Linked DNA regions of Danio rerio. The protein of the gene in region 1 purifies or fractionates together with the protein of each later gene. This does not show direct contact. Links are inferred from orthologs where the notes say so. Each region holds a gene or a part of one and is shown in the gene's direction. Other genes may lie near its edges.

Evidence for each region.
Region 2: the proteins of srrm1 (region 1) and srsf6a purify together in Homo sapiens (affinity purification with western blotting; 3 studies listed by BioGRID and IntAct, with this or other methods). This does not show direct contact. The link is inferred for Danio rerio from reciprocal best matches to the Homo sapiens genes SRRM1 and SRSF6.
Region 3: the proteins of srrm1 (region 1) and srsf4 purify together in Homo sapiens (affinity purification with western blotting; 3 studies listed by BioGRID and IntAct, with this or other methods). This does not show direct contact. The link is inferred for Danio rerio from reciprocal best matches to the Homo sapiens genes SRRM1 and SRSF4.
Region 4: the proteins of srrm1 (region 1) and srsf5b purify together in Homo sapiens (affinity purification with western blotting; 3 studies listed by BioGRID and IntAct, with this or other methods). This does not show direct contact. The link is inferred for Danio rerio from reciprocal best matches to the Homo sapiens genes SRRM1 and SRSF5.

The regions. Positions count from the first base shown.
Region 1 is NC_133192.1:26,822,892-26,827,226, forward strand, and holds the start of srrm1 (serine/arginine repetitive matrix protein 1), read left to right. Parts: upstream 1-1,474; 5' UTR 1,475-1,605; intron 1,606-4,335. UniProt on the Homo sapiens protein: Part of pre- and post-splicing multiprotein mRNP complexes. As a component of the minor spliceosome, involved in the splicing of U12-type introns in pre-mRNAs. Involved in numerous pre-mRNA processing events.
Region 2 is NC_133198.1:4,266,601-4,270,169, forward strand, and holds part of srsf6a (serine and arginine rich splicing factor 6a), read left to right. Parts: intron 1-899; coding exon 900-1,015; exon of another isoform or gene 1,016-2,627; coding exon of another isoform or gene 2,628-2,657; coding exon 2,658-2,860; intron 2,861-3,569. UniProt on the Homo sapiens protein: Plays a role in constitutive splicing and modulates the selection of alternative splice sites. Plays a role in the alternative splicing of MAPT/Tau exon 10. Binds to alternative exons of TNC pre-mRNA and promotes the expression of alternatively spliced TNC.
Region 3 is NC_133194.1:14,557,573-14,561,141, forward strand, and holds the end of srsf4 (serine/arginine-rich splicing factor 4), read left to right. Parts: intron 1-1,982; coding exon 1,983-2,436; 3' UTR 2,437-3,107; downstream 3,108-3,569. UniProt on the Homo sapiens protein: Plays a role in alternative splice site selection during pre-mRNA splicing. Represses the splicing of MAPT/Tau exon 10.
Region 4 is NC_133195.1:31,614,950-31,618,518, reverse strand, and holds part of srsf5b (serine and arginine rich splicing factor 5b), read left to right. Parts: intron 1-1,030; coding exon 1,031-1,135; intron 1,136-3,490; coding exon 3,491-3,560; intron 3,561-3,569. UniProt on the Homo sapiens protein: Plays a role in constitutive splicing and can modulate the selection of alternative splice sites.

The DNA.
Region 1 (4,335 bases):
GGCTAAGTGCATGTATGACAAGTGCCCCAATAACCCATGGACTTAGGATCATCCCCATTCCCCTCAAACTTGAAGCATAACGAAATACTACGCCATTAAATTTGCGACAGAAATTCTGGCAAAATAACCTTAGCCTCGGAACGTAAAAGCGAGGCCAACATGTCTAGAATAGAATAGGCTAAACCAATATGAACGTAAAATTATCAGCTGACCAAACTCAAAAGTTTATATTGAACATATGTGCAGCCTAAATAACATAGGCTAATTGGTTTAATATGCCTGACCTTAGGTCTAGTTTGATTTTTTCTTGGCACAATGCAGGAATAAAATGGCATCTACAGTGTCAGGATTCAGACGGGAGTGCCTGCATAGCCACTGCGCCCTGCTGCACTGAAGGAGCACTCGCTCGCAGCACTTGTTGCTGAAATGCATAGAATTCTCTTGGAAAGGTGCTGTAGTCATGGGAATGCCTGGCCTTATTTCTCCCAAAAGGAAAGTAGATTTTCCTATGCTGATCCGTCTATACGGAAGTTTGTAGAGGAATACTTTTGTACACTACATCCAGAATTAATGTATCCGATTCCTCCTCCCATTCTGTGAAGTCAGTCCTAGGCTTTTTCGTTGGTGCGCCAGCTATGAATATAAAAACAGTACAACCGCCCGCCACCCGCCCGAATTTAATTAAAATATTATTTTTTCGTAACGTCATCCGCCCGATCCGCGGTTTATCCGCGGAGTCCGCGGCTATAACCGCCAACCGCGCATCTCTGGCACACATTGCAATATCGAAGCTGAAACTATATATTGTGCAGCCCTAGTGTACATGTAAAAACACATTTTATAGCAGTGAAAACGGGGCTTCTTTTTCTGCAAGTAATATTTAGAAGAACTAAAAATTTAGGTATTTATACAAAGTAATTTTGCAAAGCAAATCATCATTTTAGGTTATTTCTGATTTGTAATTTGACAATAAACCATTTTTAGCTCAATACAAGTAAAGATCCTGTAATTATGATTATTTTATGATGTGGTTTTAGGTGGATATGACCAAGGTCAACCTGGAAGTCATCAAGCCCTGGATAACCCAGCGTGTGACAGAGATACTTGGCTTCGAGGATGATGTGGTCATTGAATTTGTCTTTAACCAGCTGGAGGAAAAGGTAGACCCCCACCTTGCTCTTCCCGCTCTTGTTTTATTTTTTTATACACATGCTGCAGTCTATATTAGATGTGTTGTGCTTTGGAAAGAAGAGAAGGTTTGAAGATCAATGAATAACCGCTGACAGTTATTTGAAACATTTGTCATGTGAAGATGTAACAGCAGAAACATCTAACATCACAGTGTTAAACTGTCTGCCTGATTTAAAAAAAGACAGAAAAGGGGGTAAAAAGATATATTTCTCTCTGAAGAAATGATTTGTGACACCGTTCCTTCTGAACAGCAATGTTCTAATGTTGATGTGATTTATGATTTAAAAGGCCTGAACCAATATGGATCTTATTCCTTGCATCTGAAGTATAGCACCAACTCCTAATTAGATCTCAACTGAGCCCAAAGTCTCTCTGAATCCAACTCTCCCTTGATGATGAGCTTTATTTTTTGAGGTGAGTTATGAGCAGGGCTTGACATTGTGCCAGTGGTAGAGTCATTTCAGCTTGATCATTTGTGCCTTTCTGTTTTAGTCAAAGTTTAGCAGTACATCTTAAACATAAAGGCCTGATTTATCACTTTTATGGAAATGAAAACTATTAAGGAATAAAATGAAAAGATGATTTTGCATGTAGGATGATAATGCAGTACAACATTGGTAGTGTAAGAGACTTGTTTTTTTTTTTTACTTGAGTCTCAGTTACTTGCTCATCTGTCAGTTATTAAAGACTTTGTTTTTTGTATGATTGTGCCTTTAAACAGTACGAAAAAAAGAGACGTGACCCTTTTTATCTGTTTTAGATAGGCTCTCTGTATTAGTTGCTATTTTAGTCTGTACAGATTTAATTTTCAGGAAGATTTTGCTGGGATTCCAGAGAGGTATTTGCTCTTATTTATAATACATTAAGGTGTTTCCTTAGTCTAAAACATACTTTTAATTTGTCATGGCATAGCCATATAGTAATTTGAAGAAATTCTTCAAGTTGAGCTTAATCAACAGTGTTTGTGGAATAATATGATATACCTAAGAGAATAATTTAGTCATCTTTTCTTTGTTAAAATAAAACATTTAATTACAGTTATTTGTAATTTAATTACAGCGATTATGACTGCCAGGATGAAAAGAATAAAAAGTTTGTTGAATCACTCTAAAATCAAAATCTTGAATAAACATTTTAACTTGCTAACAATTAATTAACTTTTTTTTTGTATAGTAAATATGCTCGCATATTTAAATGAAGGGTGCATTACTTGATTTTTTGCGATTGATTATTTTTGTCATAATTGTAATCACGATTATTCAAAATGATTACTGTTAAAGTCAAAATTATTAGTGCTCCTGTGAATTTTTTAAATAATTATTTCCCAAATTATGTTTAACAGAGCAAGGAATTTTAATAGTATTTTCTCTAATATTTTTTTCTTTTGGAGAAAGTCTTTTTATTTCAGCTAGAATAAAAGCAGGTTTAAATATTTTGAAACTTATTTTAAGGTCAATATTATAAGCCCCTTAAGGCAATGTATATTTTTTATTGTCTGCAGAAGAAACTACTGTTACACAATGACTTAACAATGACCCTAATTAAGCCTTCGAATCGCACTTTGAATCTGAATGCTTGTATTTTGAAAAATTTCTAGTCCAATATCATGTGCTGTCATCATAGCAAAAATAAAAGAAATCAGTTATTATAAATGAGTTATTAAAACTACTATGTTTAGAAATGTGTTTAAAAAAAATGTTTCCATTAAACAAAATTTGGGGGAAACGGGTTGCTAATATTCTGGAGGGCTAATAATTCTGACTTCAACAGTTATTTTCCTCCCTGCAAAGGTAAGAGAAATAAATACAATAAAATAACACTTAAGCTACAAAAGTCCTTCATTCAAGAGCAGTAAGGGATTTTCTCCTTTTTTTATTTGATTAATACTGATCGAAACAGGCGGTAGCAGAAATAGTGCGCTGTCACTTTAAAGGTTTCGCTTTTACGTTTCTTTTGATTCTCAACTCGTTTGTTTATTACACAAATGAGGGTTAATATGAATAATCACTAAACACCGCGTATGGACGCCTATTTGAAAATTAAAACGCTCACATTAATGACTTTAGATGTGCGCTCTGCTCGTCACCGTGTGCGAATGAGACCGAATGCTGACCGCATGCTTCTGACTGTGTGTGCTCGCTGCACACACACAAACAGGAGCATGCGGTTTAGTTCGTGCTTTTAAGAGCAACAAATGTTTACAACTGGAAAGGGGGCGGTAAATAATGTAATAATCGTTCATCTCGATTAATGGTTTTTCATAATTGTTGGAAGCCAAAATCGGATTTTCGATTAATTGCACAGCCCTACTGGATAATATTGTAGTATTTTATTAAAGAGCCTGCACCATAATTATATAAGATTTTCAAAATGTTTTTATGCAAGCGCACACAGAGATAACTGATATATATATCACTCTTCCTCGCATGGTTTCATTGTGCCAATATAAATTCATTGCTGTAGAATGCAAGTAAGTCAATACTTAAAAGTCTTTGGCATCTAAAAAAAGAAGTAAATGTTTCAATTATTCCACAGATCCTGTTGAGAGAGCTTGACCTGTATAAAGTCAGACACATTTGTATAGGCCTTATTTTAGAACAGCAGGTGCTCAGTCCTGCTCTTGAAGATCTACTTCATTGCAAACTTCTGCTCCAGCTCTTCTTAAAACCGAACTCTGGTGCACATCTTCAGGAGCACGATTTAGCACGTGTGTCTTAGTTAACGGGTCTAATAGGATTGATTTTCCTCTTCATTTTGTTGTTAATAAAACCTTTTCTATGCCTTGTGTACTCATTATTGCTTGTTCGTCTCTTGCAATTTAGATAAATGATATAGCATTAAACTCAAGGTGATTGAGTGTGATGCGGTAGTGAGGCGGAGGCCAGCCAATGGAGCGCCTTTCTCCGCCCCCCCAGCCCACAGAGCCTGCGCCACTCACACTGAAGACAACTGGACTGTTCTTGCTTTGTGGGGTTTTGATGCACTCTGTTTGTGGACTGTAATGTTTCTATCTCTCAGGAGTTTGATATTGCACAGGATGAGACAGCCATAGTGGTTGGGAGGGTCTTATTGCTCCTTGACGGGGGGATGTGAACTGGGAGGGTTCATCTCAGTTCAGATGATACCTTGTAAACTTGTAATGCA
Region 2 (3,569 bases), on another chromosome or scaffold:
TAAATGCAGAGGAAACCTTCATTTTTTGGAGAGAACTAGCCCTTTAAGTCAAATAGCATAACCATAACCTGTATATAAACGATTACTACTCGCTCTGTACTGTAGCTCCAGTGTTCTTCAGTCCCACCAGTGCACTGCGCTGTGACAGCAGCTTCCCATTCTCTATTCCCTATTCTGAGTTCTAGCCCAGTGGAAAGTAAGCATCAACGTCCATGTCTAAGTTATGAACTACTTCAGATTTGATTTTCACAATAACAAAGTCCTTGATTGTTTCAATTTGAAAGAGTCCAGTGGGGGCTGAGGCTGAGTCCAAGTGTCGTTGTGGCTAAGATGACTACCTGACCGGTTTGGCCTTGGCCTCTTCACCTTACAATGTGTGTGTGACCTTTGCCCCTTGATGCTTTGGCTGACCTAACCGGAAGCCAAGATGACCACAGCCTTTTGCCAATAGACCAGGGGTGATGGTGAGGAATGCCACTAGTTATTGCTATGTTGTCCATATGGAAAAGCCTCTAGCCAAGATGTAATAGAAATGTCTGAAATGGAGACATTGGGGTTTGCACTAGCAATTTCTGTGTGGGCAAGTCAGGATGTTCATGCCAAGGTTTTGATTAAATATTTAAATGTATCAGATTAATTTTGCCCTAAAAGACCTGAGATTTGATCGTCTGGTCAGCCTTTATTGTGTGTCTTATCAGATTCTCTTTTATCCAAATAGTAATGCCTTTCTGGGAGGCAGCAAAGTGCTCTTGAGTCTCAACAGGTTGGCAATAAGCAACAGAGGGCAAATATGACCTGTATTTCCTAATAGACTCATTATTAATTCAGTGGCGTCCATCTTTCTTTGGTTTGTCTCTTATAAAAGGTTGTCTTATGTTCCCTCCCCTTGTGTACTGAAGGTGGTTACAGCAGCAGGAGTCGCACCGGTAGGGACAAGTACGGTCCTCCTGTTCGCACTGAGTATCGGCTCATTGTGGAGAATCTGTCTAGTCGCTGCAGCTGGCAAGACCTAAAGGTAATGGTGGTAAAATGGCACACAACAACCCTGTCAGCTCTGCATCCCAGCATGTTTTCCATTTCACACAGTAGCCCTAATGTTTAATGCAGAAGCTGATTGGTCTGATTTTAGGACACTTTTTATTACTTCAGTGGTCTCAAGTGATTAATAGAACAAAAACTAACTGTTTAGTGTAAAAATCATTTTAGATATCAATTCTGGGATCTTCAAAATGCATACATTTTCTCTTCACAGCAGTTCAGAATAGATTCAAGAGAAAATGTATGCATTTTGAAAATCCCAGAATCGATATCCGTACAGCCATACTCTGCCTCAGGTTCTTGACAAATACCTCTTAATCCTAAAACAATCATTGACAAAATTGGTGAGTTTCAAGCGCATTCTTAGTGAGCATGTTTAAAAACTAGCCCTGAGCATCGTCTGCTCTTTAAGAACAGACCCAGGGCGCCGTCTGCCATTTTAAAAACCAGCCAAGAGCGCAGTCTGCTGTTTAAAAACTGGCCCAGAGCACCATCTGCTGTTTAAGAACCGGCCCAGAGCACATGTGCTGTTTAAAAACTAGCCCAGAGCACCATCTGCTGTTTAAAAACCGAACCCGAGCGCCGTCTGCAGTTTAAATACTAGCCCAGAGCACCATCTGCTGTTTAAAAACCGAACCCGAGCGCCGTCTGCAGTTTAAATACTAGCCCAGAGCACCATCTGCTGTTTAAAAACCGAACCAGAGCGCCGTCTGCAGTTTAAAAACTAGCCCAGAGCACCATCTGCTGTTTAAGAACCGGCCCAGAGCACATGTGCTGTTTAAAAACTAGCCCAGAGCACCATCTGCTGTTTAAAAACCGAACCCGAGCGCCGTCTGCAGTTTAAATACTAGCCCAGAGCACCATCTGCTGTTTAAAAACCGAACCAGAGCGCCGTCTGCAGTTTAAAAACTAGCCCAGAGCACCATCTGCTGTTTAAAAACCAGCCCAGAGCGCCGCCTGCTGTTTAGGAGAACCAGCCCAGAGCGCCGCCTGCTGTTTAGGAGAACCAGCCCAGAGCGCCGCCTGCTGTTTAGGAGAACCAGCCCAGAGCGCCGCCTGCCATTTAAAAACGGTCCCAGAGCGCCATCTGCAGTTTAAGAACGGTCCCAGAGCGCCATCTGCAGTTTAAGAACGGTCCCAGAGCGCCATCTGCAGTTTAAAAACCAGCCCAGAGCGCCGCCTGCTGTTTAAAAACCAGCCCAGAGCGCCGCCTGCTGTTTAAAAACCAGCCCAGAGCGCCGCCTGCTGTTTAAAAACCAGCCCAGAGCGCCGCCTGCCGTTCAAGAACGGTCCCAGAGCGCCGTCTGCCGTTCAAGAACGGTCCCAGAGCGGTCCTAGTCTAGAATGCCATAATCTGCTGTTAAACTTGCCTAGAGCGCCACCTGCTGTTAAAAAACGTTTAGAATAGATTTAAGCATACCCATACAGTTTTTTAAAAATATCAGGATTAATTACTCAAAATATTTTTTGCCATTTAACAATGTGTAAATTCAATGTTTATGTGGCTTGGTTTTGATTGCTGAAAGTCTTTTAACAGCTAACAACAATGCTGAAGTTTGATGTGGTATTTGAATGATTAGCTGTTGTGCATGAAGCTGAAGTTTGGGTTCTCTTTGCAGGATTTTATGCGACAGGCAGGTGAGGTGACCTATGCGGATGCCCATAAGGAGCGTGCAAATGAGGGCGTCATTGAGTTTCGCTCTTACTCTGATATGCGGAGAGCTCTGGAGAAACTGGATGGCACTGACATTAATGGCAGGAAGATTCGTCTGGTTGAAGATAAGCCACGAAGACGACGCTCCTACTCTGGCAGTCGCTCCCGGTGAGACTTTGCAATTTTTGCTTCTGGTAAATCTCGGGGATCAGTTTCCGCAATTGACAGCAAGAACACACATAGAAGGCTTGTCCAATTAACACGCAGCATATGAATGTGTTCAAAAGAATTAAAAACACCAAAATGGGATGTATTTATACCGCATTTTGAAAGTGAAAGCACCTCATATTCACCGATTATAAAGTTCAGTATTTATTACACGACGTTCTCTTCTTTACATTTACATTATAAACACATTTAGCTCTGTGCATATCGACTTCAGTTCCGATAATAACCGATAATCATTGTATTTATTTATTTATTCTGTTTAATTGATTTATTTATTTTAGCCCCTTAACTGAAAGACGTGATTTTATTTGTGTGTGCGTAGTGTAAACAGTGGGCGGTTTAAATGTAAAAAAAAAAAAAAAAAAAAAGAAGGTAAAATTAAACACAAACTTTTTGTCTTTCAAACATTTATTTTTTCTATTTTAATATCTCGCTGTTAGCTAGTCTTTCAACAAATAACAATGTAAGAATGATAATTATAACGATGATAATAACGGGGAGGGAAACCCCTGTGTTTGAATAATATTTTGCTCAAACTGAGTCTTGAGTTAAAGTAACCATTTATGGGATAATACCTGTTATATATTATACTGTCATTCCTCCTAAAAATACAGAGATTTGATTTTTTTTTTGGCCCATATCGCCCAGC
Region 3 (3,569 bases), on another chromosome or scaffold:
ATAAGAAAAAAACACTAAACACATGCATCTTTTTTTCTTTTTACTGAACTAGTCTGCAGTAACGAAAGCAGGAGATGCTTTAGAAACAAACAGATAGCCAACCAAAAAAGTAACGCCGAGTTATACAAAGAGTGGCCAACACAAAATACATACATTCCTTATATGAGAGTCCTATCTCACACTCAATACCCTACGATTACGGTTATATAAAAACAGCACTACAACATACAAAAGAGAGAGATCTACTTAATGTCACTCATCAATTTTTAGAATTTGATCAGCTGTTAGAAAATACAACAATCTTTTCTCCTCTAAGGGCTTATTATGTGGTCTCTTGTCGCCATCTTGTGGATGGAAAACGTCAACCGTCTTTGCTCGGCTCAATAACATAGGCTGGTGGATGCCATCATGCTATCTCAGAAATTATAAATATTTAAAACAGGCACTGTCCTTATAAATAAACTCCACAGATGCAATCTAAACGACTACATTCTTAACTTAAAAGCCTCAAAAGTACATTGTTGTCCAACAGCTGCAACATTTGTCAAACTGTAGTGACTTTATTGATCTGATGTCACTCTGTAGGTGAAGTATGGTGAAGAGGCTGTAAGAGTTCTGATATGGCAGAATATCACATGGCTATTAGCCAATCAGATTCAGCACCCGGACAGAACTGTTGTATATTATATTATATTATATTATATTATATTATATTATATTATATTATATTATAATATATTATAATATATTATATATATTATATAATATAATATAATATAATGAGTGAATTTGAAGTTGATGACTTAAACTACCCACTGTACAATGTGAAGAGAATTGTATTTAAAATTTATTTATGAATTGTTGACAAGAATATTTAAAGCTATATTACCAATTTAGTATCATCTTTTGCAATTCATTTTGTTGCCATACAAGCAAAGCTGTTGCATAAGGCATTATATGTATTTTAGCTTTGAAGTTTTTATTTTTAGTGTTGCTTATATTTGAGTTAAGGATCATGATTGAGCGAAATGACAGGTAATTATAGATAATTATTCCAATTTAAAAAAATGTTTTAAGGAACAAGCTCAAAAACGCTGAGTAAGGTTCAACTGGCTTTTAAGGGTCTTAATTCAGAGCAAAAAGTTAAATTCAACGTCATGGTATTGTGTTACATGCACTCCGAGAAGATTGGTATATTCCTTAGATTTTTAATACAATGTCTAAAAATCCTTTTAGTTAATATGTTTGATAAAATAGTTTTACTTTATATATTTTTTTTATTCAAAATAGAGGCATTAATACTTAATTTTATTAATGATATGATTTTTTTCATATTTTTATTTTTATTTATGCATGTTTTTGTTACTATATATGATGCTTCATTCATTTTCTTTTTTCGGCTTAGTCCTTTTAATAATATGGGGTTGCCACAGCGGAATGAACTGCCAACTTATCCAGCACATGTTTTATGCAGTGGTTGCCCTTCCAGCTGCAATCCATCACTGGGAAACATCCATACACATTCACACTTACCCTACAAACAATTTTAGCTTTCCAATTCACCCACGCCGCATGTTTTTGGACTTGAGGGGGAAACCAGAGCACCCGGAGGAAACCCATAGGAACATGGAGAGAACATGAAAACTCCACACAGAAATACCAACTGACCCAGCCAGGGCTCAAACCAGCAACCTTTTTGCTGTGAGGCTATTGTGCTACCCACTGAGCCACCGTGCTGCCCACATGTATAATGCTTAGTGCTCATAATTTAAAGTCTTTGTTCTACAAGTTGTGCATTGCAATTCACATTCATTTACTATCTTATGTCTTGTTTATATACTTTGACTATGCTTTGTGGAGCAATTGATATTTTAATGTTTGAGTACACTAGATGGCAATAACTCCTGTAGTAAAATAGAAGTCGTGTTGCTTTGTGCTAATGTATTGATTTGTTGAATTGTTCTGTTTTCTTTCCATTTCAGAGCCTCAGGTTCACGATCACGCAGCAGGTCAACCAGCAAGAAGGCTAAGAGCAGGAGCAGCAGGATGGAGGAGAGCAGTAACGGAGCTCGCAAGGGTGGTGATAGCGGCAGGGATAATAGCTTGAGCCGCAGCCCTCAAAATAAAAAGAGCAAACGTGAGAACAAGCGGGGTCGCTCTGATTCTCGGTCCAGATCTCGATCCAAATCGAGGAACGATAGGGATCTGTCCAGAGAGTCTGGGTCCAAATCTCAGGAGGCGAGCAAGAGTGGTGATGAAGGCAGAGCGGGAACACATCGTTCTAGAGCTCATTCTCGATCCAGATCACAAACACCACCAAATGCAGATCAGCGGAGGGAATCTAGATCCAGGTCTAGGTCCAGATCCAAATCACGCTCACATTCACGCTCACAGTCTTATTCCCGATCTCGATCCCGTTCGAGGTCTCGGTCCTAAATCCATTTCTGAAAGTCTTTCTCACTCAGTATTATTCATCTTGTTTTCCAGTCTAGCTAAACGTCTTTAAAACAAGAATATGTCTTAAATGTTTTTTTTTTTTTACCCCTTTAAATCTTTTTGTCACAATTGTGATAGATGTATGCTTAAAACAAAACACAGTTATCAACTGATAGGGGTAAGAAAATAAATAGAATTCAAGATATATTGTCTGAAAACAAGTCTGAATGTTACATTTGAGAAGCAAAATGGTGTATCTTGTTTTTAGATATTTTGTCCTCGGAAAAAGACAAGAATAGACTGAAAATTATGTTTTGCAGTCAGTGTCTAAATGTTGTTCTGCCCTTCATTTCTTTTTTTGAAGCTACTTTTTTGTAGTTTTGTTTTATCCTTTGTTGTCAAATAGACAAGCTAGTTATTAGGGAAATTGCCTGCTTATTCACAGTTATTATTTTCTGAAATTGTTAACCTTATGTTTTATTTTAGTAGTGTTTTTCTTTGGAAATTGCTTGCATATGTTTTATTCATAAAGACCGAGCCCTCAGTAGGTGTCCTAACCCTTTGCATTGTATACTTTAGACCTGTACCATAATTGTTGTTATGCTGGGGCAGAGTTTATGGTCTTTTTAAATTCAGTTTCTCCATGCAAAACAATAAAAACTGCCTCACAATGCTTGTGTCCATTCTGTTCATTTCCAAGGGTGTTTTGTGATGGCCTTCCTTGTATTGCAAAGTCAAAACCACAACTGATCTTTGGCCATTTTATGAAACAAAAGTTTTTAGTTTTTATTTCAAAACTTTTACTTTATTGGAATTGTATAAATCTCTTTTAGGGTTTAACACTTGCCATTTGAATGCAGACTGAAGTCTTGCAAAAACACAATGTAAAGAAGTTGTCATTTATAAGAATGTGTCGATAACTCCATTTTGATAAAAATGTCGGATAGAACCTTATAATTCTATGGTGACGATTTGTAAATGAAAACAACCTCCTGTTTAAAAAAAACGTGTGCCCCAAAGAGTTGAAGATATAGCTTTGAATAAAAATAATACGTTAGTAACTTGTAATTATTTAAAGTATTTTTTCGTTTAACTTTTTAAGTTTCCATGTAGAAAAAAATCCACAAGATGTC
Region 4 (3,569 bases), on another chromosome or scaffold:
AAGTATTTCCTGCTGAGGACACCAACCTAGACAGATTAAAAAAAAAAAAAAAGTTTGGATACAAGTAGAATAGTAAGTAATATTTAAAATATTTTATTTTTTATTATTAGTGTAATATTGTTATATAAAATGCCTTAAATTATAATAAAATAATATTGGGCAAATAAAAATCCTTTCTATCTGGGCCATTTTAAAAATTCCTTAGCCTTTTATGAGTCTAAAATTTCATTCATAATGGTCTTAAAAATGTCTTAAGTCTTAAATTTAACTCTGTGAAACCTGCAGAAACCCTAGGACAAGTAAGGGAGGCATGGCTAATACCCACATAGAGGGCATTACAGTAATCTAGCTGAAAAAAAAAAAATATATATATATATACAATTCTTTCAAAGTTGTTAAAAGACAGAAAAGAAACTTAACTTTGGATAATTGCCTTAACTGGAAAAAAATAGCTTTAATTATTGAATAAATCTGTTTGTCCAGTTTGAAGTCACTATCAATAATAACACCCAGGTTCTTAAAGTTAAACTTAAACTAATATAAAAATATAAGTATATAAAATCATTAATTAGGCTGAGAACTGAACTTGTACATATTTAAAAGGTGAATTTCTCAATAATTAGATATTTTTTAAAATAGATTCCAGATTTTTGAAATAGCTGTGTCTTGACCATTATTGTCAAAACCTAACAAACTATAAATAACTAAATGGTTTCAGATTATGTATTAATCTCATATGATTCTGAAGTACTCCAGTTAGATGGTGTAAAATTAGAACAGTTTTTTTTCTTCTATGGCTTGCATCAGTTTAAATTTTATTACAGACTCACTTACTAAAGTTAACATCCGGTTAGAGTAGAGCACTAATGACCCCTATTGGCAAACTGCTAAAACCAATGGCCCGTTGTTGGCCGAACATCAACTGTGTATGTCATGGCTTGAAGGTGTTTAGGTTAAAAAAAGAGCTCTCTGAGTGAACTGATATATTAGGCAGACATGCATATGAGGGACCTTTTTTGTTTGTTTTCAGAGTGACCATTGAACATGCACGCGTTCGTCTGCGTGGAGGCCGAGGTCGTGGGGGTGGAGGACGTTTCCCTGCTCGGTATGGTCGAGGCTCTCAGGACAGCCGAAGGTGAGTGTCAGTCTTTAGGTAAACTTTCCTCATGGGTCTTTTTTGTTATTATTTATTGCAGACAAACCTTCTGTTATGTGTGAATACTTTACAGTTCAAAATAAGGATGCATGATGTTGGAAAAATCTAACATTGCAATTTCTTTATTCTGCGATTTACTTATTACAGTATGTATACAATATTCCTAGATGACAAATAACTATTTGGAAAGAATTTATAATTTTAGATTCACTGGAATTACTCTGTAAGGGAATATATCTGCATAAAAACATATATTTAAAAACAATCTACAATACTAGATGTATTCAATAAAGAAAAAGATACAAATTAAATGAACTACATTTTATTGTTTTTAGTTCATAGTCTTGATATAAACAATTAGATGAAATTAACTGTTAATCATTTTTCAAAGTTACAAATGGTCCAATTTCATATGCCTGAATGTTTTTAAAATCCTCATACAGTCTTGGGCCTCAAAAAACAATTGTTGTTGGGGTACAGGAACTGTAGGCTTGTTTTTGTGACTTAGTTCCTATAACTACTCTGTGCTAAAGCCACTGTTATTAAAACATCATCTTTTTTTATTCCAGCTGATGAACAGTTAAAATATTGGCAGTCATTATTGCAGAATCCTTCCTGATTTAAATAGCATTTAAAACAACAGATTATACCATTGTAGTGTGATTTATAATAAAATAATGTTATCACACATTGGTGTAGGTGATATTATAGTTATTGAGCAATTCCAATGTTATGAATGTGACATTTGCCGTAAAAACTCAAAATATAAATTCACAAAGAAAGTATACGTTAATATTATTTTGAAATATGTTTATATTTTATTATGAGTTGTAGGACCAGAAAATTATCAACCTGTAAACATGTTTTGTACTTTAAATGAAGAAAATAAACACGCGTTATGGATGTGAGAAAAAAAGTCTCAGATTTTACAGTATACAACACACTGTAGAAATTCTGTAAATTAAACTGCAAAAAATACTAATGCTAATCGAAAGGATAAGAGTTGCTCTGTATAGAAAAAAAAAGTTTGAAAACATTGACAGACATTTTTGAGGATTTCTTAAGTACTGTAAAATACTTGTTTACACAAAAAACATAGAAACAGTTTCTGTAATTTTTTTTCATGGCAAAGTTTACATTTGCATTAAAGTGCTCTCTAGTCACTTTTATAGATTTTGTGAAGTCTTAGACATTTCTAATGTTACCAATAATTGGCAAACAATTCTGAATAAATATATATTCACAACAAATACTAACTGTTTTCAACAATGCTGTTGATCGATTGTCTTGTTCCGAAACAGGGATTAAAATTGTTACATTGTTGCTCTTAGTTCTTGGTGCGATTCGCTTTCACACTTGAAAGTTTCTTAATGAACCAAAAGAGCTAAAAACAATTCACATGCAAGTAAACTCTCCTAACATTGGTCAGAATTTCACAGTTTGAGTCTCGGTCAGCTGTCATGCATCCTTATTTTAAATTATGACTTTGAGCAATAAGACATTAGAAGCGAAAAGCTACGCTTTAATTTTGAATGGTGACACCTACAGACATCACCAAATATCATATCATATCATATATCAATAAAAGTCAGAGGTAAGACTTTCTCAGACATATCAGTTGGCTTATGCATTATAGGCCTTTACATTATAGAGAGAAGTAACAGATAAACCAAGACTGTTGTTCTGTCAATTTTCTTAACAGATACACAGCTCTCGTTAATAGTTCAGTACGCTTTCACTTTCGAATTTTACATGAAACACACTTTTACCAGTAGGAATTACATCCATAGAGGCGACCCAGGCGGCGTCCGAGACATCCCTTCACCTAGGTCCTCACTTTCGTCCGCGACAAACCTACCGGTCCTCACTGTCATAGGCGCAATCACACCCCCGTCTCTCTTTCGTTTTGAGGGTGGCATGATCATAGTTTGCCTAGAGCACCAGTTTAGCTTGCGCCGGCCCTGCTTATAATTCTCTCTTCATATAGTCATATGTCTATTACATATCCATAATACACTGTGATAAAGCCTGGCTCAGATCGTATTGCTTTCTCACTACAATCGTTCCGCTCCTGAGTTCATTTCAACCGACCTCATTTAGGCGATCTCGGACCGATTGATTTGGCGTGGATCCAAGCACGATTACTGGGTTCACATATACCAAACGAACGGCGATAACAAGACAAGACAGGTTCCAAAACAAAAGTCTAGGTGTGAAAGCACCCTAAATCTGAAAGGTAAAGAATATTTGCCCAAATAGGCTTATTATTTTGTCTTAGTTTAGTCTTATTTTGTACATTAGTAATTAACTAACTTAAGACATTTCACTTGACAGGAACCCTCCGCCAATGCGCACAGAGAATCGCCTCATCGTGGAGAATTTATCATCAAGAGTGAGCTGGCAGGTGAGCATT